Linked DNA regions of Anolis sagrei. The protein of the gene in region 1 interacts with the protein of each later gene in a biochemical or structural test. Links are inferred from orthologs where the notes say so. Each region holds a gene or a part of one and is shown on either strand. Other genes may lie near its edges.

The links.
Region 2: the proteins of ARFIP1 (region 1) and ARF3 form a complex in vitro, tested with the Homo sapiens proteins (2 studies listed by BioGRID). The link is inferred for Anolis sagrei from reciprocal best matches to the Homo sapiens genes ARFIP1 and ARF3.

Annotation. Positions count from the first base shown.
Region 1 is NC_090025.1:51,023,612-51,036,502, forward strand, and holds the start of ARFIP1 (arfaptin-1), read left to right. Parts: upstream 1-8,292; 5' UTR 8,293-8,453; intron 8,454-10,947; 5' UTR 10,948-11,106; intron 11,107-12,891. Other genes in the region: TIGD4 (tigger transposable element-derived protein 4), read right to left, coding at 3,048-4,394. UniProt on the Homo sapiens protein: Plays a role in controlling biogenesis of secretory granules at the trans-Golgi network. Mechanistically, binds ARF-GTP at the neck of a growing secretory granule precursor and forms a protective scaffold.
Region 2 is NC_090022.1:137,918,448-137,930,594, reverse strand, and holds the start of ARF3 (ADP-ribosylation factor 3), read left to right. Parts: upstream 1-7,178; 5' UTR 7,179-7,409; intron 7,410-7,415; exon of another isoform or gene 7,416-7,507; intron 7,508-12,147.

The DNA.
Region 1 (12,891 bases):
CAGATAATGTAACAGTACCAAAATTAATTCAGTTGATGACTTTTGAGAAATATTTGAAGAGTATCTTAGTCTGGATGTATACTGCTATATTGGAGGGGCAAAGATCCAAAATACTCCTTAAATCCAAATCCGAAAAGCAGGAGCCCCCTTTCCAGTGGAGGGGGAGAGCAAGAACACCATGAAAGCTGGATCTCTAAAACTGCAAAAGCTGTTTATTGCGTGGCCAAAGCAAGACGGCAAAATACATATACAATACAATGAAAAGGTTTCGCCACACCCCCAAATGGGGCTGCAAAACTTTTATCACTTCAACAGTAAATTGAAAACACATTCACATTGGTGTTCAAAGATCAATCATTTCATTGGTCTAAGCTTACTATACAGATGCTCATTGGCTCTATATTATTTTGACAGTCATAAAGGCACGCATGGGACCATAACAAGGGGACAACTATAGTCTATTGTACTCTGGCCATGACAGTCTTAATGAATCTGTCTTCTCTGTTCTTCCATTGCAAGCATAACTCCAAAACGGCTGGGAAACTTAGAGAGTACTAACTAGGCACAAGCTAGCCAATTTGTCCTGATGTACTTTTATCCTTGAAAAGTAACGTCCTCTTGATATCGAGCTCTTTTTGGGGGGCTTTCCCAGCGAGGAAGGCCCCAGGGGACCGCCAAGGGGGTCCTTAACCTTGGTGAGCAGCCAGCGAACGCCAATCCAAAGCGCAAAATATTAAGAATTAATCCCACCAGAGGCTGAAGAGGTATCCAGTGACCGAAGCGTTTATTTCTGCGATTCAGCTGAAAAGGATGCGTTACAGGGATATTTCCACCATAAGCATGCAGTACAGTGGTTTTCAGGCATATTTATACAGGCAAAACAAAGAAAACCCCGTTTGAATCTCCCGCCCGCCTTCCGTCAGTTTCCTCTGTCCTGATTGGCCGGCTCCGGAACAGCTGGGAGGAGGCTTGGCTGCTGGTCCCGCCTTCCCTCCAATCGCCGGCCGCTGTCGCCTCCAGGGGGCCAATCAGAGCCCTCGGAGCGCCTCTGAAGATCGTCCAATCAGCGGCCAGGAGGCGGGATGTAGTTTGACAGCGCAGAGGGGCGGAATGCCTGGGAGGCGTCCGCCAGCTGATTGATAATCTTTTGTTCTTACACGGCAGGGAGGCGGACGGGGGAAACAAGGGATTTCCTGAGTTCTGATAGCAGATGTGTATAGGCATAAAGGAAGGGCTATGGGCGGCATTTGGATCTCAACCTTGTGGACAAAGGGGGTCCTTAGTCACAAAGGAGCGTACACAAATACCATGATTGATTTAATCAGTCCGTTTTCCGGGTTTCGGCTGACAAATCTTTGGCCCTGTTTGTCTGACTCTGAAAACAAAGCCTTAAGATATTGTCAGCCCTGATCCATGCAATGTCAATATGAATGGAGTTTCTTCTAAGGAAATTGGATTCCTTACTGTAGCCCCAGGTCACATACTTTTGTAGGGTAAAGTTCAAAGGGAAAGAGTAGGGAAAGAGGGTGAGGGTACATCTCATTTCATATCATAAACTTTTCACATACATTCTTCATAAACTTTCATAAGCTCATAGATTTCATAAAGGGGTCCCCATCCCATCCCCATCCCAGCAAAGTTTATTAGAAGCAACAACAATTGATAAAAGCAATCCATCAGAGTTCTTGAGGTATGATCTTCTTGGCAAGGGCACACACACAGGCGGGGGCTGCTTGCTCTTCCAGACAAGCCCAGTCCGGGGTTTGGGTCCAGAAATGTGGCAGGAAAACAGTCCAAGGCAGGAAGGCAGGAAGTCAATCAGTGAGGGCAAAAAAGGTCCGAAGAAAAGGTTCCCTGGCAGTGAGACGTGGGGCAATGTCCTTTGAAAACTACCTCTCCCAGCCGGGGCCTGGGATCGAGGGGGAGCGAGCACCGCCGTGGAGAAGCGGAAGGCCCAGCCAGACCGACAATCAGCTGTTTCTCTGCAAGATAAAATACTTGGAACAAACTAATTTTTCCCGGGGTGAAGGAGCCCAAAACGAAGAAAAGGAGGTGACAGTCTTAGAATTTATAGCAGCAGGGAAGGATACAAAAGTAGCATGCAGAAAGACAAAAAGTTGCAAGTGTCAAGTGCCTTATTAGGGGAACGTTACAATGTAGGCAGAAGGGAAAGCAAAGGGAGGCTGAGTGCAGTCTTATTATTGAGCTGCCTGCAGGACCACATTTCACCCGTTTTTCTTTCAACCAGGAACTGCGGAACTCTCCGCTGCAGTGCAGACCAACAGAAGGCAGGACCCCCTGCCACGCTCGGCCTCACTCTCTGCAGCAATTTTTCTCAAACCATAAGGACATATGGGCATTGGGAAATCCCTGAAAATTCCATTTTAAACTATGTCTCCCTCAATATAATGTAGTATGAACTGTATTATATTGTCAAAGGGAAGACTGGGGGTTCTCAAACTAAGGCCCTCAGGCCAGATGTCGCCCTCCAAGGTCATTTACCTGACCCCTGCGCTAAACTTTAGACACAGGGTTGCCCTAAGTTTTAAACGACTTGAAGCCACACAACAACAATCCTAATTAACTTGACTATCTCATCAGTCAAAAGCAGACCCACACTTCTAATTAAAATACTGGCAAGTTTATGTTGGTTAAAACTGTTCTTCATATTTTATTGTTCTTTCATTTTGTGTGTGCTACAAATAAGATATGTGCAGTGTGCATAGGAATTCATACATTTCCCCCCAAAATATAGTCCAACAGTCTGAGGGACTATGAACTGGCCCTCTGCTGAAAACATTTGAGGATCCCCTGATATAGACCCATACACTGCAGTTCAAACTGCATTATATGAGTCTACTCTACACTGACCATATAATGCAGTTCAGGTTGCATTGTACGGCAGTGTAGATCCAGCCGAAAGCAGTCTGGGCCTGATTCTGTAATGGCAAAAAATTTTGAAGTTCAGAAAAACCTCTACCTTAATTTCCTCCACAAATTTGACTCGAAATATATATTTTGGATATATTATATTTAATTGTTATCAGTCATTTGGGGGTTACCAAGTCCTCATCCAAAGCAGCATATTCTTCCAAAGATAAGACATTTGGAAATTGTACTGCTGCAGCCAGTGCATATGCAGTCAAATTGAAGTTATTTTCAGCTTCTGCATCTACAGAAGCTTTCCCCCCAGAGCCTGATCTAAACCCTGCTGCAATGTAGCTGTTAACAATTGTCCCCGAGGATACAGCCCTCCAACAGAGCTGCAACATACCAAGGGCATCAAGCAGAGTCAGTGCAAACTCCTTTCCGGTGTTTATACAGTCTATAAACCTCTTGAGAAGAAGGGTCCGATATTTGACTTTCAGACTCTTGATAATCCCTTGCTTCATCGCTGTAAATCGAGAAGCGGAGCAAGAAGGAAAGAATACAAGCTTGATACATTTTAAATCCTTTACCTCTGGAAAATCTGGGAAAGGGTCCACAAAAATAACAACGTGACGCTTCTGTATTTTAAACTTCTTATCGAGCTTGTTCAGCCATTGTTCAAACACATCTGAAGTCTTCCATGGCATAGTACTGGGATGGTATTGAACAAGAGGTGACTTTCTGCTCTGAAAACAGCGGGGAGTTTTATTTTTTCCAATGACAAGCAAAGGAAGTTTCTCTGAGGCATCCATGTTGGTACCAACCATGAGAGTTAATTCTTCCTTGCTCACTTTCCCCACTGAGCACATTTTTCCTTTAAATGCAAATGTATGACTGGGTAACATCTGATAAAACAACCTTGTCTCTTTCAGATTAAATATATCATTCGGTCGATAAACCTTTACATAGTAAGGCAGGATACTTTGATGCCAAACAGTTACAGCATCCGCTGCAGAAGCATCGGTCAGAGTCATAGCGGTAGCAATTCCTGACTGAGATCTGAATGCTAATCCATACCTTGATTTAAAGCGATCTAGCCAGCCGTTACTGCATTTGAAATCACTATATCCAAGTTTCTGTGCAAAATGGTTGGCTTTGATGCGTAGCAATGGCCCATCTACTCGTACATTTGAACACTGTGCCATTTGGTACCACTTCACCAGAGCCTCTTCCAGATCAGTGTAGCATGCCATACGCAACCTCTTTCGTTTTGGATCAAATGGCAAAGACTCAAAGGCTTCTAGAATGTTATCTTTGTTCTTCAAAATGGAATACAAGGAGTTTCGCTTTATGCCATATTTTCCTGCAATCTCTGTCTTTTTCTTTCCATTTTCTATGGCAGCTATTATGGCAATTTTGTCCTGGATTGTCAAACTTGTCTTTTTTCTTGCCGCAGGCGACGTTGTAGGAACATCTGAAAACTCCGCCATCGTAATGTTAGAGATCTTGGGGAAGCTCAGTTGCATATAGATACATTTGCTCGGTTACTTTGCTACCATCAAGGGCTTTAATTAGATTGGTTTACAAGTCACATGCTGAAGTCATGCTAAAATAAAGTAACATCACATGATTAGACTGGCAGTGCCACAAATATATTTTTGCATATCATAAATATGCAGAAACATGATCTTCTAATGTTGTTACCTAATAAAAAACAGTTCTATGAACTTATTCAAGGTAATCTCAAGCATGTGGTATACTTTTATTTCTTTTACAGTAATTTAGTAGCCTTTCTGTGCCCTCTTTATTATTTGAAAAACAATTTTTGGTTTGGCTTTTTTTATTTACACAGAATCACAGAGTTAGAAGACACCACATGGGCCATCTAGTCCAATCCCCTGCCTTGCAGAAAGAGCACAATCAAAGCACTTCTGACAGATGATGATCCAGCTTCTGTTTAAAAGCCTCCAAAGAAGGAGCTACAATTTGTGGCAGAGAGTTTTCAGAAGTCCGTTGACTGATGCTGCTATTTGCTACCCTAGATCTGTTTTAAAATGGGCCTCTGGCATGCCACCCCATGTCTGTTCCTCCCTCTAACAGTTCAATCTTGCCCTTGAGTTATAATTGCATACACATTTCACAGATGAAAACCAGGACACATGCAGCCAAGCAAAATTAGAGTTGTCAAGAGTGTAAAAGGATTTAATGAGAAAGAGCACACAAGGTAACAGGACGCTGTATCAGTTTACTTTTGCACGAATCAAATGGCAAGATTTTCACCTTTCCATCACTTCTCCCACAAATGAATTGTGTGCAAACCATTTCTGCATTTTGACTCAGTTTGTAGTAAGTACTGAAATAAACTAAGAACGAAGATAGAAAGTGAGGCCCCTTCTATATTGCCATAAAAAATCCAGATGATCTACTTTGAACCGGATTATATGAGTATAAACTCATACAACACAGTTCAAAGCAGATAGTGCAGATTACCTGCTTTGATAATCTGGATTCTATGACAGCGTAGAAGGGGCCTGTGAGGTGCAGAGGGAAACTTTGACATTTTAAAAGTAGATGAAAAGGTTGACTAGCAGATGATTAATTGGTGCTGCCCCTGCCATTGTTGACTGAGGACAATATCTCTCCTAGAATTGTGCATGGGAAGTCACCAATACACTACAATAGGATCTTTCTCCCACCAAAGCCAGTCATGTGTAGAGAAAATGGCCCCTGCCACTAACCACGTGAGTTTCAAAGCCTTTAGGTATGTACTTCATGTAGTTTACCACCACTTTTAACTTCCACAATGCAATGCTACAGAAACATGAGAGTTGCAGCTTTACAAGGCCTTTAGCCTTCTCTGCTAAAATAGTGCTGATTCCTCACATAACTCCAATTCCCATGATAGCATTGAGTCATAGCAGAGGGATATCAAACGTCATTACTCTTGCAGTTGGAAACAAATCTGGCTTTTTCCTTAATCTTGGAAAAGGGGAAGCATACACAGCCTAGTTGTATTAGCAGGGAGTCATAAAGCAAAATCAAAAAGCGAAAAAGGAAAATCTCTTTATTCTGAAGGTTTTATGAGGTACACTTTTAGGGCCCTTCCACACAGCCATGTTCCAACTCTTCATGACCTCATGGATCAGCCCATGCCAGAGCTCCCTGTCTGCTGTCACCACCCCCAGCTACTTCAGAGTCAAGCCAGTCACTTCAAGGATACCATCCATCCATCCATCTTGCCCTTGGTCGCCCCCTCTTCCTTTTTCCTTCAATTTTCCCCAGCATCATTGTCATCTCCAAGCTTTCCTGTCTTCTCATGATATAGCCAAAGTACTTCATCTTTGCCTCTCATATCCTTCCCTCCAGTGAGCAGAAGTGCTTTATTTTCTGAAGTATGGACTGGTTGGATCTTCTTGCGGTCCAAGGCACTCTCAGAATTTTCCTCCAACACCAGAATTCAAAAGCATATATTTTCCTTCGCTCAGCCTTCCTTATGGTCCAGCTCTCACATCCATAGGTTACTAAGGAGAATACCATCGCTTTAACTATCTTCATTGCCAGTGTGATGTCTCTACTCTTCACTATTTTATCAAGATTGACCATTGCTCTCCTCCCAAGAAATAAACGTCTTCTGATTTCCTGTCTTCAGTTTGCGTCTGCAGTAATCTTTGCACCTAGAAATACAAAGTCTGTCGCTGCCTCCACAATTTCTCCCTGTATTTGCCAGGTATTAATCAGTCCAGTTGCAAGAATCTTGTTTTTTTATGTTTAACTGCAACCCAGATTTTGCACTTTCTTCTTTCACTTTGGTTAGAAGGCTCCTCAGATCCTCCTCGCTTTCGGCCATCAAAGTGGTATCATCTGCATATCTATGGTTGTTAATGTTTCTTCCAGCAATTTTAACCCCAGCCTTGCATTCATCAAGTCCTGCACATCGCATGATGTGTTCTGCATACAAGTTGAATAGGTTGGGTGAGAGTATACAACCCTGCCGTACGCCTTTCCCAGTCTTGAACCAGTCTGTTGTTCCATGGTCAGTTCTTACTATTGCTACTTGGTCGTCAGACAGATTCCTCAAGAGACAGACAAGGTGACTTGGTATGCCCATCCCACCAAGAACTTGCCACAATTTATTATGCTTAGGACCCGCCTACCTGCGTGACCGCATTTCCATGTATAAACCCACACAGTCTCTTCGTTCATCTGGAGAGGACCTGCTCTCGCTCCCGTCGCCCTTGCAGGTGCGATTGGTGGGGATGAGGGAGAGGGCTTTCTCGGTGGTGGCCCCCCGACTCTGGAACTCACTTCTAAGGGACATCAGGCACGCCCCAACATTGGCAGTCTTTAAGAGGAGCCTGAAAATACGGCTGCTCCAGTGTGCCTTCCCAGAATAAGGAAACAGTTCCCAGCAAAATGTCCTCAAAAGCGCTTTAACTATCTGTTTTTTAAAACCCTCCTATTAGATATATCCTACCTGTTCATGATCAGCATAATTATTAATTTTTAAACGATTACATCTGGCCCGCCCATAGGTTTTAAATCTTTGTATAGTAATGTTTATATTATTTATTTTTTATTTATTTATTTACTGTATTTGTATACCGCCTTTCTCAGCCAATTGGCGACTCAAGGCGTTTTCCAACAAATCGGTATACATAAAAGATGATAGACAAAAAACATTGAGCAGTATATGACATCATAAAAACAATAAAAACGATATCATCAGCGTCTCATTATTCTCAGGCATTGTCCAATTCCATTGTCAGGTCATTCGATTTCCCGTATTAGCTACTCTGTATTTGTAAACGCTTGCTCGAATAGCCACGTTTTAACTTGCCTCCGAAACGTCAAGAGGGAGGGAGCAGATCTGATCTCCCTAGGGAGGGCATTCTATAGCCGAGGGGCCACCACTGAGAAGGCCCTGTCTCTCGTCCCCGCCAAATTTGATTTATTTAATTGTGTTGTTATTTTTTGTTATTGCTTTTTGTTACTGATGTGTTGTTGGGCTTGGCCTCATGTAAGCCACTCGGAGTCCCTTGGGGAGATAGAGGCGGGGTATAAATAAAGTTTTATTATTATTTATATATACTCCACACAGCCATATAACCCTGAATATCAAGGCAGAAAATCCCACAATAAGTGCTTTGAACTGGGTTATCTTGATTCCACACTGCCATATATTCCAGTTCAAAGCAGATAATGTGGGATTTTATATAGTTTTGCGGAAGGGATTGCAAGCCTTTTCTCTCCCAACCCTGTTATGATGCTACTGTTGATTTCCCTTTAATTGCCATGGAAATGTTGACTATGGGAGGGAAGAGTGAGAGACCCGGATGCTGTTTCTATGGCGACGCGCCACGTTCCAAAGAACACCGTGGCCCCTTTATGCGAGCGGCGAGGCAGTAGAGTGACAACCCGCCGCTCTATTTCCGGCCAGGCAGTTCCGGTTGGCGCTGGAGTTTGTGAGGGGAAGTGGAGGGGGGAGTGGAAAGAAGGCGGAAACGGGGCCGGAGCGACCTGGACTTCTCTGACGTCCTTCTTGTGGTGAAGCAGCAGCAGGAGGAGAAGGAGGCGGCGGGCTGAAGGTAAAGAGGGAAGATGGAGGGCGTGGCGGAGCGGGGAATAGCCGCTTCCTGAGTTAAAGAGTCCCTCCGGTGGGGCCTGGTTGAGGCCTTGCATGTCCTCCTCAGCCTCCCCCGTCATTCTCCTCCTCCCCGCCTCCAAGGGGTGGAGAGGGGAGGCCGGCTGCTGTCCTGGCTTGTCTTCAGCTGCTCTTCTCAAGATGGACAAGCGGCCTTGGCCACGTAGGAGCAGGGAGGGGCGCCCTCCATTCCCTACACTTCCCTTTGGGTGCGTCTACACTGTAGGAATCAATGCAATTTTGATGCCCCTTGGGCTGCTATGGAACTATGGGAGTTGTGGTTCGGTGTGGTAACCAGCACCCTTTGGCAGAGAAGGCTACAGGCCATGTAAAGCCACAGCTCCCATGGAAGTTAAAGTGGTGTCAAACTGCAGTCATTCTACAGTGGAGACCAGTCAGTGGCAAACTTCGGCCCTCCAGGTGTTTTGGACTTCAATTCCCACAATTCCTAACAGCCCACTGGTTTTTCCCTTGCTTGGTCTGGATGCACCCTTTGTCAGAGCACCACAGTTATTATTATTATTATTATTAAACTTTATTTGTACCCCGCTAGCATCTCCCAAAGGACTCGATGTGGCTTACAAAGGCCGAGGCCTCAACAAAACAACAACATAAAACAATACAGCTCAAAGCAAATCAAAAACATAAAGCAATATCAACAAAACATTACATCACAAACACAGTAAAACCAAGGCCGGGCCAAGTAGTGGGTACAGATTAAAAGTGCTGGGTGTGATAGGCAGCATATTGGATTTCAGGGCATGTGCAATGTGCAGAGGATCTTAAAACTCTAATAAAGTGCTTCTGAGACATAGTGCTGAAGTTTCCTATTCCTGGAAGGCACATCGGAACAGCCAGCTCTTCAAGCTCTTCCTAAAGCCTGCCAACGTGGGTGCTAATCTGATGTCTTTGGGGAGGGTGTTCCAAAGTCGGGGGGCAACCACAGAAAAGGCCCTATCCCTTGTCCCCACCAACCGCGCTTGTGACGCCGGCGGGATCATGAGCAGGGCCTCCCCGGATGAATGAAGGGAGCGCATGCGTTCATAGACAGAGATGCAGTCTACCTGCAGGTAGGCAGGTCCCAAACAATTAAGGGCTTTGTAGGTAAGCACCTGCACCTTGAATTGAGTTCGGTAGGTAAACGGCAGCCAATGGAGCTCCTTAAACAGGGTTTAACAGTGCTACTTGTCCCCAATTTTGTAACCAAAGGACATAAATATGGTGCTTGTTCCTGTCCCAGTGGAGTAAAAAAAGTAATCATTTAGGACCTTTCCAGACAGGCCCTATATCCCAGGATCTGATCTCAGTGCGGACTCCTATAATCCAGTTCAAAGCAGAAATCAGATCCTGGGATATAGGCCCTGTCTGGATGGCCCCTCAGATGACATGAGAAGCACAGCTTTACATATCTGTGTCTCCATCATCTGCAGTTTGAAGTTATCCTCAGACCCCTTCTACACTGCCATGTAATCCAGATTATCAAAGCAGATAATCCACATTTGAACTAGATTGTCTGAGATCTCTTCCACACAGCCATATATTCCAGAACATCAAGGCAGAAAACCCCACAATATCTGCTTTGAACTGGAATATATGGCAGTGTGGACTTGGATATCCCAGTTCAAATCAGATATTGTGGGGTTTTCTGCTTTGATATTATGGATTATATGGCTGTGTGGAAGGGCCCTGAGTTATGCGAGGCCCCTTCCACACAGCTGAATAAAATCCCACATTTTCAGTTTTGAACTGGAATATATGGCAGTGTGGACTCAGATAATCTGGTTTTCTGCCTTGATATTCTAGGTTATATGGCTATGTGGAAGAGCCCTGAGTCCCCACTACATGTATTCTAGTTCAAAGCAGAAAATGTGGGGTTTTATTCAGCTGTGTGGAAGGGGCCTGTGTCTATACTGCTATATAATCCAGTTCAAAGCAGATATATGACAGTGTAGAAGAAACCTCAGACTGCTTCAGCCAGATGCCAAAGTTCCACAAGAGCAAGCAAAAAGAAAGCCCTTAATACACATCAGTGCTCTGTGGTTTGTAAAATCACAATCTGGGTGTCAAACTGGTTCTGGGATTTCCTGTATGATGATCTGCACAGTGATACTGCATTATATGGTCAATGTGGATGGGACCGAAATTTTGCTTGGCAGGTTGAACAAGTGCTGCTTTTTCCTAGTATGAGGGGAGGAAGTGCCTGTCAGGCAGCTGTTAGTGAAAGTGTGCTCTTGAGTTAAAGCTCCTCTAACAAATGAGTATGTGTTCTAATGTGAAGTTCAATTAATTTATCCATAACCATACTGATGACAGGCAATGCAGGTTTTAAATTTTGTAGATTAAGGAATTTGCTACATTTGATTCCATGGCTGAGGGATCTATATTCTGAAAATGTTTGATCATTAATCAGCTTATCTGTTCTTATCTGTTTCCACCAGTTTCCTTGCATGTAGCACTTTATATAAAGGCAGAGTGTCACAGTGTTTTCTATTCAATAAATGGCTTTGAAGAAAGAACAAACTGCAGGGAAACTTGCCAGGAAGGAGAAAAAAAGTTAATTCTGGGACACACCTACTTCATAATCTTTCAAGAGGCAGGTAGGGCAATGGTGGTTGTGTGTCTTTGAGGGGGAAGAGCAGGAAGTGCTTTGCCCAGCCAAAGAATATAGCTGTTCTTATTAAAGTGCCTTCTATTATTTTCCTCCTTTTTCCTTTGACCTGCTTTGTTTCTTTAGTTTGCTTGATGCTGAGATAATTCAGTCAGAAGATGGAAAAGTTTAAGATGTATTCAGTTATCATTTCCCAGAGAGGTGCTCTTCTCCTTAGCTTTCAGCTTTTCAGGCTGCATGACAATCTGTCTTTATCTGTGTGTCATAGATACAGGTTGAACATCTCTTACCTAAAATGTTTGGGAGCAGAAGTGTATTGAAGAGGGGTTTTTTTTTTGTATTTTGGAATGCTTTCATTTGCATATATGTGCACAAGGGGATGTCTTTGGAAATGGGATCCAAGTCTTAACACAAACTCATTTTGTTCCACATATAGGTCATTTTATAGATATGGTTTTTAATAATTCTGTGTATGAAATTTTAAAAATATATATCAAACCATCTTAAAGTAGAAGGGACACTCTTGGACACCTATGTGGACAATTTTGGAGTATTGTAAAGATCTGTAATGTTTCTGATGTACATATTTAGGCCCTCTACCTCGTTGCTAGATGCAGCTTGTAGACAGTGGTGTTTGGGATTTCAACCTCAAATAGCTGTATTTATTTCATGAAAAAAGATGAAAAAGTTTGTAAATTTCTGTAGGATGGTATGCACTCTCTTCACTCAGTAGGTGAAATAGGTAACCAGAGTTGATTACATGGACTGGTTGTATATTTGATTGCACTATGTGTTGTGAGAAAAATCATTACTGAACTCATAAGAGTGGCAATCATGTTGATGCAGAATATGCTTTGGTTATTTGTCACACTTTTCAGATCACTACCTTTCACCAACTTAAATGCCCAATGGGCTATGTCTGTATGGGACTTGATTTATCTTATTTTCTGCTTTCCTATAACTAGACTTTTGATGCTAGAGAGTAGTAGGGATTTTACTATGCAATGTATTATTTATTTATTTGCCACATTTATATCCTGCCCTTCTCACCCCGAAGGAGACTTAGAGTGCTGCACATATACACTCACAGCATGCATTCTGCTAGATTCGTAGGAATGAAGCAATTCTGTGAGGTCTTTTTAAAAAACATATTATTGGAGTTTGTATAATGCTCTTATTGCAACCCATGTATATTCCAACTTTTTCCAGATCTTCATGTTGACATATGTGATTGTCAAATCATTTATCCTACAAAAGTGTTATGAAATGGGTTAAGGTATGGGAGGGGCTCATGCCTACCAGTTAATAATTAACCCACATAGCAGTCTAAAGGGATCCTTGTGCAGCAGTCTGCTTATTATTCTATAATGGATTTACATGTCAATCTTACATTTACTTGGTTATGTTGGAGCAAATGTTTTACATCTGAAAATTTATAGCAGTTCCTTTCTTACTGGAATGGGTGTTATGCATTGCTCCACATTGTTGAATTGCACTTATTGACATTTCTTACCATTGGCTACTCAGACTAGGATAGCTGGGAACAACAATCGCCTATTTCTCGCCAATTGCTTGTTCCCCATCCCTGCCGTGTTGCATATCAGCTATAAGGCATATGTTCTAGATTGGTAGAAGTGATGTGAGTGAGGAGTATTTCAGCCGAAGCATTTAAAAGATTTGAATATATTCATGTTATTCCCTTTTTTTTCTTGCTCAAAAGGCTTTCCATCTTGAGCAGTGGTTCTCAACCTGTGAGTCCTCAGGTGTTTTGGCC
Region 2 (12,147 bases), on another chromosome or scaffold:
GCAGTTTGGACTGTACCACATCATGCAGTTTTCTGTAGGAAATCACACACACTTGTACATTTGACGGTATTGTGAATTCCAAGTGAAGCATGTCCATACTTACTGTCCAGCATGCTCCCTACTGAAAATGTGTCAGAATGAGGCAAGTATTTTATACTGAAGTGGTATAAAAATGTGACAAAACTGATTTGTATGGAAAACCATTTGGTCTTGCAGGGAGGGGGGTTCATGCTTCATTGCTCTTCCTCTTTCTCATTTGAGAAAACTAGATGTTGATGAGATTTGTAAGTGATACAATGGGATATTCATTGTCCTCCCCATGCACTGTGACCTGAAAGACCATGGAGCCTGAGTTCTTTCGAGATGGCCTTTCTGTGATGCAAAGGCAGTGGTCCTCAGCCATTTGCCAGTGTCCTCATTCTGGTCCCAACCCAAAAGGGACCCTCCAAGCTCTGAGTCAGGCTGGACCAGATCTCCTTGGTGAACTCAACTTGGTCTCCACCCGCAGCCATGACTTCATTTCATGAGTGTCTCTGTGCACTTCAGCAGGGAGTGGTTTTGTTTGGAGAAATCAGCCAACTGTGCATGTGAAGGCAGCGGGTGAGTGGACTATCAGAGAGGTGCATCAGTGTGTGTGACACTACTCCAACAACCATCTCAGTGTAGGGCTGGAGAAGGAGGAGGAAAGTGTGCCAATTTCCATCCATCTCTGCTTGTGGCACAGCAGTTGTGTACCTTTAACATGCAGGCTTCCAGATATTCCTGGATTGCCACTCTTACCATCCTCCATCAGAGTGGTGGGATTTTCAGTCCTACAACATATGGGAGATGCATAATTCCCATCCCCAAACATACATTGATAGCATAAGTAGATTTGGTGGTGGCCATTGGCTATGAATGAAAACATGTGATGCACTTGCTGCAGTACAGTTTGGGCTTTCTTGAACACTGGGAAGTTAAAAGAAGCCTCTTCTATACAGGAAGTACATGAAACTTACACTGTCCTCGAGGAGACTTACTTCTAGACTTGTATTTTAAAATCACTTTTGGAGACAACTTGGCAACTTAGGCTGGACATGACTTCCACAAAGAATACTGGGAACTGAAGTTTGGAAAATGTTTAAAATATTGACAATGTTCCCTGTTATTATCCTATTTCTTTCTCACAGTCCACTTTTCTTAAGGTTCCTGCAAAGAGGGAATTAATTTAAACTGATTTAAATTTATCACCAGATTCTGAGAGATGTGAAAAAGTCATTCTGGGAGAGTTATTGTTTCTGCTGGTTTGCACACACATTCATTTTGTCATAGCATCAGCATTTACTGAATATTTTTTTGCAGGTTTTTGTATTAAAAATTTGCAAAATCATTTTAGCACAAATGAAAATAGTATGTTGCCCACCAAGTGAGCGATGACTTCTCTTTGAAAATTACTTTCATTTTTCTGAAAATCACCCAAGTTAAAGACTATTTGCAGGACACAAAACTATTTGTCCCTACTTATACTTCAAGACCACTTTTTGCAAGTCAAAAAAAACTCTAGCCTACAATAGCATATGGTACAATAAAGTCATTACAGCATATCCATTCTAGGAACTTAAATTGGTTTAAAGTCATGCCCTCTTCCCTAGAGACTAGAAGAAAGTAGTCTGTGGGGAAGGAATGGGATAGAAACAGGGAACCCTGCAAATATATTTAAGATCTTTCCAAACTTCAGCTCCCAGTATTCTTTGGTGGAAGTCACATGTTATGATTATGAAAGATAACCTGGAGTTACCCTGGACCATTCTCTGATCTACAAGAAGCACTGCCTGAATATCAAGCAAAAAGTGGGTGCTAGAAACAATATCATACGAAAGCTGACTGGCACAACCTGGGGATCACAACCAGACACAGTGAAGACATCTGCCCTTCTGCTTTGCTACTCTGCTGCTGAGTATGCATGCCCAGCATGGAACACATCTCACCACACTAAAATAGTGGATGTGGCTCTTAATGAAACATGGCACATTATCACAAAATGTCTATCTCCTACACCACTGGAGAAATTATACTGTTTAGTCGGTATTGCACCACCTGACATTCGCCAGGAAGTAGCAGCTAGTAATGAAAAGACCAAGGCCGTGACATCTCTTGCCCATCCTCTGTTCTATCAACCAGCACACTAATGCTTTAAATCAAGAAACAGATTTCTAAGATCTACAGAGATACTCGCAGGAACACCTCAGCAAGCGAGAGACCAAAAGTGGCAGGCTAAAACCCAGAACCGCAGTCCATGGCTGATACCAAATGAGAGATTCTCCCCTGGACACACAGAAGACTGGGTGACTTGGAAGGCACTGAACAGACTGCACTCTGGCACCATGAGATGCAGAGCCAACCTGAAGAAATGGGGCCACAAAGTGGAGTTGACATGCAAGTGCGGAGGATAGCTAACCACGGACCACCTATTACAATGCAATCTGTGCCCTGTAACATGCACAATGGAGGGCCTCCTTATAGCAATACCAGAGGCACTCTGTGACGAGCTACTAATCAAAGGACAATTAGTATAATGCCAAGTTTTAAAACTTTGTGTTTTTTTAAATACATTGCAGCTATACCCTTGGTTCACTTCTGATATGATAAATAAATAAATAATGAAAGACTAAAATGCATTGATTCCATAGATTGCATAGACAAGGCATGAAGCTGTAATCCTGCATACAATAAGCTGAAAGTAAATTCCAATAGGACTTGCTTGTGAATAGATATGCTGGAGTCTATGCTATTAGTCATTAACAGCTGCTCAGTACTCATTTATTCCTTTTCAGGATGCCAGGGATCAAATGAATCAGTTTAAAATGTTCATTAAAAATAGGATTTGCCCTATTGAATCTCTTTGCTATTCCTGCATATCCCTAATGTGTTTTTAGCAATGCTTTCCACAGATCCATTGGTACATAAGTCACCTGTACATGCCACAAGATCTGGATTGCAGACCACTGTTTGTATTTTGATCGTATGTTCATTTATAATTAAAAGGTTGGCTGACATATTTTCATTTAGAAGATTGTTCACCAAGAGGGAAAGCTGTAAGGAAGCATAGTAAAAAAAACCCAATCCATATAAAGGGACAAAAATATTCCTCATGGTGTAAACACAGCCTGGTGTATTTCAAAGCAGAGGTGCCTCTTCAACTGGCAAACTTGCAGTACTGTACCTAACGCCACATGAAAAATTAAAGGTTTTATTCACATTTCAGTAAATTACTTCCACATCACTGCACAGATTTGTTTTGAACCATCTCTGTATTCCATTGTCTCTCTAGATCAGGGGTCCTCAAACTTTTTAAACAGAGGGCCAGGTCACAGTCCCTCAAACTATTGGAGGGCCGGATTATAATTTGAAATAAGCATGAATTAATTCCTATGCACACTGAACATATCTTATTTGTAGTGCAAAAAAACACTTTAAAACAATACAATAATTAAAATGAAGAACAGTTTAAACAAATATAAACTTATTAGTATTTCAATGGGAAGTGTGGGCCTGCTTTTGGCTGATGAGATAGGATTGTTGTTGTTGTTATATGCTTTCAAGTCATTTCAGACTTAGGTAGACCCCGAGCAAGGGCTGGGTAAATGACCTTGGAGGGCCATATCTGGTCCCCGGGGCTTAGTTTGAGGACCCCTGCTCTAGATGAAGCAAACAGGAGTTATGGCTTCAGGAGTGGGAGGAAATGAATCTAACTCTCCCACTGTGAATATCACCATCAGGGTTAATTCAAACCACTATCGGCCTGACTAGTGGAGGCAATGCAAATGGCTGTTGAGTGTTTGCATTTTAGGCCAATACCATGGTCTAAACTTGTGGATTCTGTTGCTCATGTATGTCTAGATTAAGATGAGAACATAAAGCATTGGGAAATCCTATGATGAGATGAATGGGAGAGATTCCTTTAGCAGTCTGTTTCATGCCTTTCCTGTTCAATGTGCTGCCAAATGAATCTGTTTGCCAAAACCAGAAGGAAGATGTCGCTCTTTGCTCCTTTCCTTCATTACTCCCTCATACTTCATTGAAAGTATAATCCTCTCCAAGTCTGTGAATAAATGTGAACGAATGAATTCAGTGGGACCTATTTCCAGGTGCGTGGGTACAGTTTTGCAGCCCTTATCAAAAAGTCAGAGGCAGTTCAGCACCAATCAGAAAATTTGCGAGATGTAGGTGGTAATATTCAACATATTTTGGGTTGTCAAATTCCACTGTTAAATGTATCTGCAATAGGATGACTCCTGATAAAGACTACTTTGCCCACTCCATAAGTAAGAGGGATGCATGGAAAGAGCTTAGCTTTGATATTAAAGCAAGCAGAATATGATCTGGTGGCCCACTTGCCTTGTACAGTATCTGAAGTCTATGGTTTTTTTTCCTGTCACATCTATTATATTCTCCCAATCCCTCCCATTAAATAAGGCTTCCCCATACTGAATCACACTGATTGTAGACCTGCAGCTGGATCCTTTCCTCCATCAATTCATTTTCATATCTATTTCATCTCTTTCTTTTATGTCAGGCTACCACTAAAGGTTCCAATATTAAACTTTTGTTCTCCTCCTCCCCCGCCCCAATGTCAGATGGGCAAAAAACATGCAGATGGAGAAATCAGATACATTTTCCATTTGAGATAGGACACTGGGGTGGAAATGTATGGTTTGCAGAATGCTAGCAGAGGCTGTGAAAGCATTTAGGGGTTATTGCAAACACAGAAAGAAAGTCAATGAGTGGAGAAGTTCAAACAGCACAAGTTTAATAAGAGGCAGATAGACTAGACTGTCACTTCACTGAACCAAGGCAGATCTGTAAATGATTGGTCATTGTATAGTAGACAAAAACATAAGGTTGAATTAAGGAGCAAAATAGATATTATTTTTGTGGTTTTTATTTATATTAAATATAAACTAAATAGTCTGCAGCTCCACCCCTGTCAACCTCCCCCCTGCACCACCACCACCACCACCAAGTCTGGCCTCCTTCAGGAAGGCCTTCAAATTCACCCTTCGCCTTAGCCTTTGCCTGCCAGTTGGGGGTGGGCCAGCTTAGTTGCTTCCACTATATCAGCTATTGCACTGGTTGCAATGTAAATTGGTGGAAAGGTGGGTAAAGAAAAAGACAAAACAGAACACACAAAGATATGTAAAACTACCAAAACTTGCATCTGTATAATGTCCAATACCACTAAATTACAATGATCTTCAGACCTTCAGGAACTGCCCCCTACACATAATGTAGTTTTCTAACATTGGTGAATGTAAACTTTCTAATAATAATAAACTGTGCATCATATTTTGAAGGAAACTTCTCAACCCTACCCCAAGATAATATCACACACACATTATAGTACCAAGACTCTTAACTAACAATGTATCATAAGAAAGATTGGGGGGGGGACACAAATATTATTTTTGTTATCTAACATCTGTCTTACCATTTATCTTCTATTAATATTTTTAAGCACTAAACAATGTTACAGACCAGTCTTTAAATATCCCATTCTTCTATTCCACACAGTACACCAAGAGAATCCCTATTATGTCCCAGTTACCCACTTTTAGGTAAACACTTGAACCCTGGTGACTGTGGGATGGAGAACCTGGTCACGGGGATGGAATCACAATAGACCACTGCAACTCCACCTCCCAGACCTTGCCTGCTGTTGCACAGAGAATCCTGGTGGGCAGAGCTGAGAGAAATTGTCCAACCCAGTCTCATCCAGCCCGGTCTCTGTGATATAGACCAGGTCAGCATATTCATCCAGGATCAAGTCCTGGGTGACAGTTGGTTTTCCATTTACTGGCATTCAACAGCAGCATTTTCAACCTGGGGAGGGGGGGGGGGGCTCTCACCCTGATTATCCAGGCTATAAAACATAGGAGACTTTGGAGGCAATAAGCACTCTGTAGGACTCTAATGGCTGCACCATGAATCAGGGGACTCCCCTCTCCTCCTTAGAAATATACATCTTTCCTATAAGGTTAGGCTAACAGATGGCAAATAAAAAACTTTATATAAAACAGGCATGTAGATGTTATAATTCCACTGCAACTACTAGGCAGATTTATTCTCTAGTGTGGTGAAGTAGTGGGATTTCTGGGAGTTGTAGGGCAAAACACCTGGGAACCTGCAGGTTGAGAACCACTGTGCTAGGGGATAGTGGGATTTGCTGTCTTGAAAGGCCCCTTTACAGTCCTCCGCCAGAGAGCTCTTGGTCCTCATTAAAAGACAAACTCCACAAGATGTTGCCATGGCAGTTAAAGTGGAATAACAGTGCTATGATACTGTGGCATTGTTCTCGGGTGCTATTCCTTAACATCTGGAGGGCCAGAAGTTAAACTCTGCTGACTTTGGGTCTAATCCAGGCATGGGCAAACTTGGGCCCTCCAGGTGTTTTGGACTCCAACTCCCACAATTCCTAACAGCTGGAGGGCCCAAGTTTGCCCATGCCTGGTCTAATCTCATGAGCTCAAACTACAAGAAAGGAGTTTCCATTTGAACATGAGGAAGAACTTCCTGATTGTGAGAGCTGATCAGAATGTGGTGGAGGCTCCTTCTTTGGAAGCTTTAAAACAGAGGCTGGATGGCCATCTATCGGGGGTGCTTTGAATGCGATTTTCCTGCTTCTTGGCAGGGGGTTGGACTGGATAGCCCATGAGGTCTCTTCCAACTCTAGGATTCTATGAGAGATACAGCACTATGATTGCACTCCTATTGCCATGGCAACACCCACAGCACGTTGAAGCGGAATCATCGCGATTTGACAGTGCAGCGTGACAGGGCTCCGTGTTGTGAATGTGAAGGTTACTGCTTTCTCTGTGAAGTGCGGCCTCGGTGTTGCCACTCTCGCGCGCACGTCTACATTGCCATGAGCGTTTGGCCTTCGGTGCTCTTTGGCCGTCGTGGCCCCCTCCCTGCTTGGCTTCCCCTTCGTCCCCTCCTGTTCAGGAACACCGTCCCCCCCACAACAACACCACCACCACCACCACAGCAGGGCGCCTTTCAAGGACTCCCTCCCTGGAAGCCCTCCTCCCCCGCGCCTTGCAGCAGGAGCAGTGGCTGCGGACGCTACCATGGAAACGAAGGACACCGGGGGGAAATCTCGCGAGGGGGCGGCGGCGAGGTCTCGCGAGAGCGTCTCGTGTTCACGGGCCTGGAGAACGGATGCCGCTGCTGTTCCTTGCTTCCGGGTGCGGGGAGAAGGAGGAGGAGGGCCGGCGCGTGAAAGAGAGAGAGAGCGCGCGCGCGCAAGAGAGAGAGAAAGGGAGGGGGGATTCGCTGCTGCTGCTGCTGCTCTTGTTGGGAGAGTGCAGAGTCAGCTGGGCGGCAGGAGGAGGAGGAAGAGGAGGAGGAGGCAGCGCGCGCGCAGGAAGCAGGTGGGTTGCCCGGGCCCGGCTTGCCCTGCGGGGGTGGCGGCAATAGGAGGAACAGCCGCCGCTGCCGCCAGTGACCAAGGAAACCAACCGTTAGGGAGGTAGATTCCACGGCGGGAGGGAGGGAGGGAATGGCGGGGGTGAGGGAGAGGGAGAGAGGGGGGGAAAGGCAAATGGCGGTTGAAGGGCGCGCGGGCAGGGGTGAGGGAGGAGGAGGGGGAGGCCGGTCCCGAGGCCAGCGGGGGGCCAAAGGGCGGGCGTTGCGGCAGGGATGGAGGCGAGGCGGGGAGGACCTGCTGTGTGCGGCTTGTGCAGTGACCAAGTGAGTGAGGGAGGAGGCAGGCAGGGAGCCATGGCTGCTCTGCTCCTCGTCATCCTTCTGTGCGGAGGAAGAGAAAAAGCTGGGGGCGGGGAGGCGAGGCGAGGGAGCTCTCCGTCCTAGCTCCCTCCGAGCCACCGTACCTGGCCAAGGTGTGGAGGGCGGAGAGGAAGAAGGCAGCCAGGCCTAGCAGGCCTTGGGCGCCTGGCCTGGAGGTAGAGGGGCGTCCCACGCACAAGGGCCGGGACCAGCTCTTTGCCTCCTCATTGAACAGTCCCCTCTTATCATCCCCTCTCTATGGTGGTGATGATAATGATGATGTGTTGTCGAAGGCTTTCATGGCAAGAATCACTGGGTTGCGGGGAGTTTTCTGGGCTGTATGGCCATGTTCCAGAAGCATTCTCTCCTGACGTTTCCCCCACATCCATAGCAGGCATCCTTTATTTCCCAACCTGGGCACAGCATATTATTTGAGAACACAGAAATGCTGGACCACTCTAACAACTTCCATGTCAGACTACACAGAGAAAATGAAATCCACAAGCATGTGGACAATTTCAACAAAAAGGAGGAAACGATGAACATGAACAAAATCAGGCTACCAGTATTTTTTTAAAAAAAAAACCTCTTAAAACAGGACAACCTCTGTGGATGCCTGCCATAAATGTGGGTGAAACATCAGGAGGGAATGCTTCAGGAACATGGCCATACTGCCCGAAAACTCACAGCAACTCAGAAACCCATGGGTGTCTGGAATTGTGACACCTTTGTTTTCTGACTTTGTACAAAATTACCTTCAGTGGGATATAAATACACAACATTTGGAACTTCAGCATGACCAGACAGACTCAAATTGGAATACGAACAAGGAACAGCTAAGACGATGGAAACAGTTGAGGAATTGAACAGGAAGGCAAAGTTTTATAATTTTTGTTTTTATTGCTTTTATGGTTTTTAAATGTATTCTCATGTGGTTTAGTTTTTGATTTGTTTTTTGATTTTGTTTTGTTTTGTTTGCTTTTAACCAATGTATGTATTTTTATATGGCATCTAATTGGTTGTTGATTTGTACGCCGCCCTGAGTCACCTTCGGGCTGAAATGGGTGGGATAAAATGACGTAAATAAATAAATAAATCATAATAGGTTGCTGTGAGTTTTACAGGCTGTATGGCCTTGTTCCAAAAGTATTCACTACAATGGCAGGCATCCTTAGAGGTTGTGAGGTCTGTTGGAAACTAGGAAAGTGAGGTTTATCTCTGGAATAATGTCCAGGGTGGGAGAAAGAACTCTTGTCTGTTGGAGGCAAGTGTGAATGTTGCCATTGGCCACCTTGATTAGCATTGAATGGCCTTGCAGATTCAAAGCCTGGCTGACACCTTCACCATTCACCACTTGGAGCCATGGAGGAAAAGTACTCATCAAGTTCCTGGACCACCTCTACAGCATCCACACAAACATCCAATTCACCATGGAAAAAAAAGAAAATGAAGGAAAACTGCCATATCTAGATGTCCTAGTTGTCTGCAAATCCTATCAACAATTGGGCCACACAGTTTACAGACAACCTACGCACACAGATAGACACCTACATAAAAACTCCAACTATCACCCAAGTCAAAAAAGAAGCATAGTTAAAGCCCTGGCAGGCCGTGCAAAAAGAACCTGCGAACCCCACCTCCTCCAAGGTGAACTGAACCACCTAAACTGGGCTCTACAGGCCAATGGATACTCCACCTCAGACACCAGAAGACCAAGATGAGAGTAAAGACAAAAATCTACACATAGGAAAAGTGTTCTTACTATACATCAAAGAAACCACTGACCGCATAGGGAAGCTGATGAAGAAACACAATGTACAAACAATTTACAGACCCACTAAGAAAAATCCAACAAATGCTATGTTCAGCAAAGGATAAGAGGAATCCTCTCACCTCTGCAGGAGTCTACCGTATACCATGCAGCTGTGGACAAGTCTACATAGGGACCACCAAACACATAATTGCCCAAACATGAATCAAGGAACATGAAAGGCACTGCAGACTAATTCAACCTGAGAAGTCAGCCATGCACATGATGAATCAACCTGGACACAGCATATTATTTAAGAACACAGAAATGCTTGAGCACTCTTAACAATCACCATGTCAGACTACACAGGGAAGCATAAAGATAGGACACTAAAGGAAGTACTAAATGTGTTGTTGAAGGCTTTCATGGCTGGAATCACTCAGTTGTGCATTTTCTGGGCTGTATGGCCATGTTCCAGAAACAGTCTCTCCTGACATTTCACCCACATCTATGGCAAGCATCCTTTATTTACCAACCTGGGCACAGCATATTATTTGAAAACACAGAAATGCTTGAACACTCTTAACAACTTCCATGTCAGACTAGGCAGAGAAGCCATTGAAATCCACAAGCATGTGGACAAAACCATAAAAATGAACAAAATCTGGCTACCAGTATTTAAAAACTCTAAAATCAGGACAGAAAACGGGAATTCCAGAGAAGAATCAATCAAGGTTAGCTAACATCTCCCAACAAAGAATTCCCCCAGAACACCAATCAGCCAGGCTTTGAAGCTGCAAGACCATTAAATTGTAATCAAGGTGACCATTTGCAACATTCACACTTGCATCAAACAGACAAGAGTTCTTTCTCCCACCCTGGATATTCCACAGATAAATAAACCTCACTTGCCTAGTTTCCAACAGACCTTACAACCTCTGAGGATGTCTGCCATAGGTGTGGGCGAAACGTCATGAGAGAATGCTTCTGGATCATAGCCATACAGCCCAGAAAACTCATCAACCTTTTATGATTATGTTTATTTATAACCCATTTCTCTCCACAAGGAGACTCAAAGCACCTTGCATTAAAAACATTCCAATATGATTTAAATCTACAAATAGACTAACATTAAAACAGGATTAAATATCATTGGTATCTCCCCCTATGGACCAGCCCGGATGTTAAGATCTTCTGGGGAGGCCCTACTCTTGATCCCCCCCCCCCTCAGGCATGATTGGCCGAGACAAAAGACAGGGTCTTCTCAGTGGTGGCCCCTCAGCTGTGGAACTCCCTAGCGAAATCAGATCAGCACCTTGCCTCCTGTCCATTAGAAAAAAAGTTAAAACCTGGCTATGGGATCAAGTGTTTGGGGATTAGCACTGGGCAACATTCAGCTATGAAATGTATGGAATGGAATGCAATTTGGAATGGATTCTGGGTTACAATTTCAGGTCTACGTGCAATGTTTAACAATATATGTAATGCATTTATATGCCATTGTTTTTATAATATTTTGATTATTTTAATGTGTATTGCATTCTGTATTTGTATGTTTTTATGTTGAATGTAGCATTGAATATTGCCAATTTGGAAGCCGCTCTGCGTCCCCCTCAGGGTTGAGATAGAGCAGGGTAAAATGCAATAAATAAATACATAAATAAAATTTAAAAATCAGTAAAAACCACAGCAGCCCCTGACTGGGGATGTGACAATACACAACCTTTGAAGGTGTTTGGTTACATTGACTGCAGCATATAATACAGTGGCATGCTGTATTGTTTTTAGCACTGTTCGCCACTTTGAGTCCTATTTTTAAGAGAGAGAAAAGGGTTCCAGTGTTAACCAGCAACACCCAAAGGTGCACCGGGGGGGGGGGGGTATTCCGTAATGTGTCTATGCCACCTCTGAAGGTGCTTAGTTCTGTCCTAGGATGGACTGCAGTTCCCATGTAGACTAAGGAGCATAACCAGCTGAGGGGCATGACTTTTATAATATTTATTTATACCCTGTTTTATCTGCCCTGAAGGAAACTCAAAGCAGTTTAAGATAAAAGTATCCACATAAAAAATTAAAAATATACATATATACAAACATTAAAACATGATTAAATATGACCAGTATTTAGAAATTCCCAGTTAAAAATCATTAAAACACATTCAAAGTTAAAGCTATAGGAACAGTAGTGATGTCTCCCGCCACAGCTGGAAGCCACCCATTTGGGGGATGGGGAAATGACGACTACTGCTGCCATATGGGGCTTGCCTGGCACGCCTCATGTGATGGGCAGTGCCTGGCACGTGTGTGTGAGTGTGTGTTTCTCCTTTTGCCCAATCTGCCTTTCTATATTGTTACACAGGAGAAAGGATCCCTTATATGCCTGGGCTATGATGTGTAATGTCAAACTTAGCCTAGCCCCTGCACTCTCCCTGGATTTGAATCCTGTTTGCTGTATAAACATGGGTCTCATCTAGGCGCCTTCTCTTATTCATGGCACCCTGGAATTCAGGTTAACCCTGAATGAGAACAGGATAAGCAAGTTGCATGATTCCAAAGGTATTTAGAAAGAAATCATCCTTCAAGTCAGGTGCATCCTTGCGGAAACATGCTTACTTCATCTTAGATTCAAATAT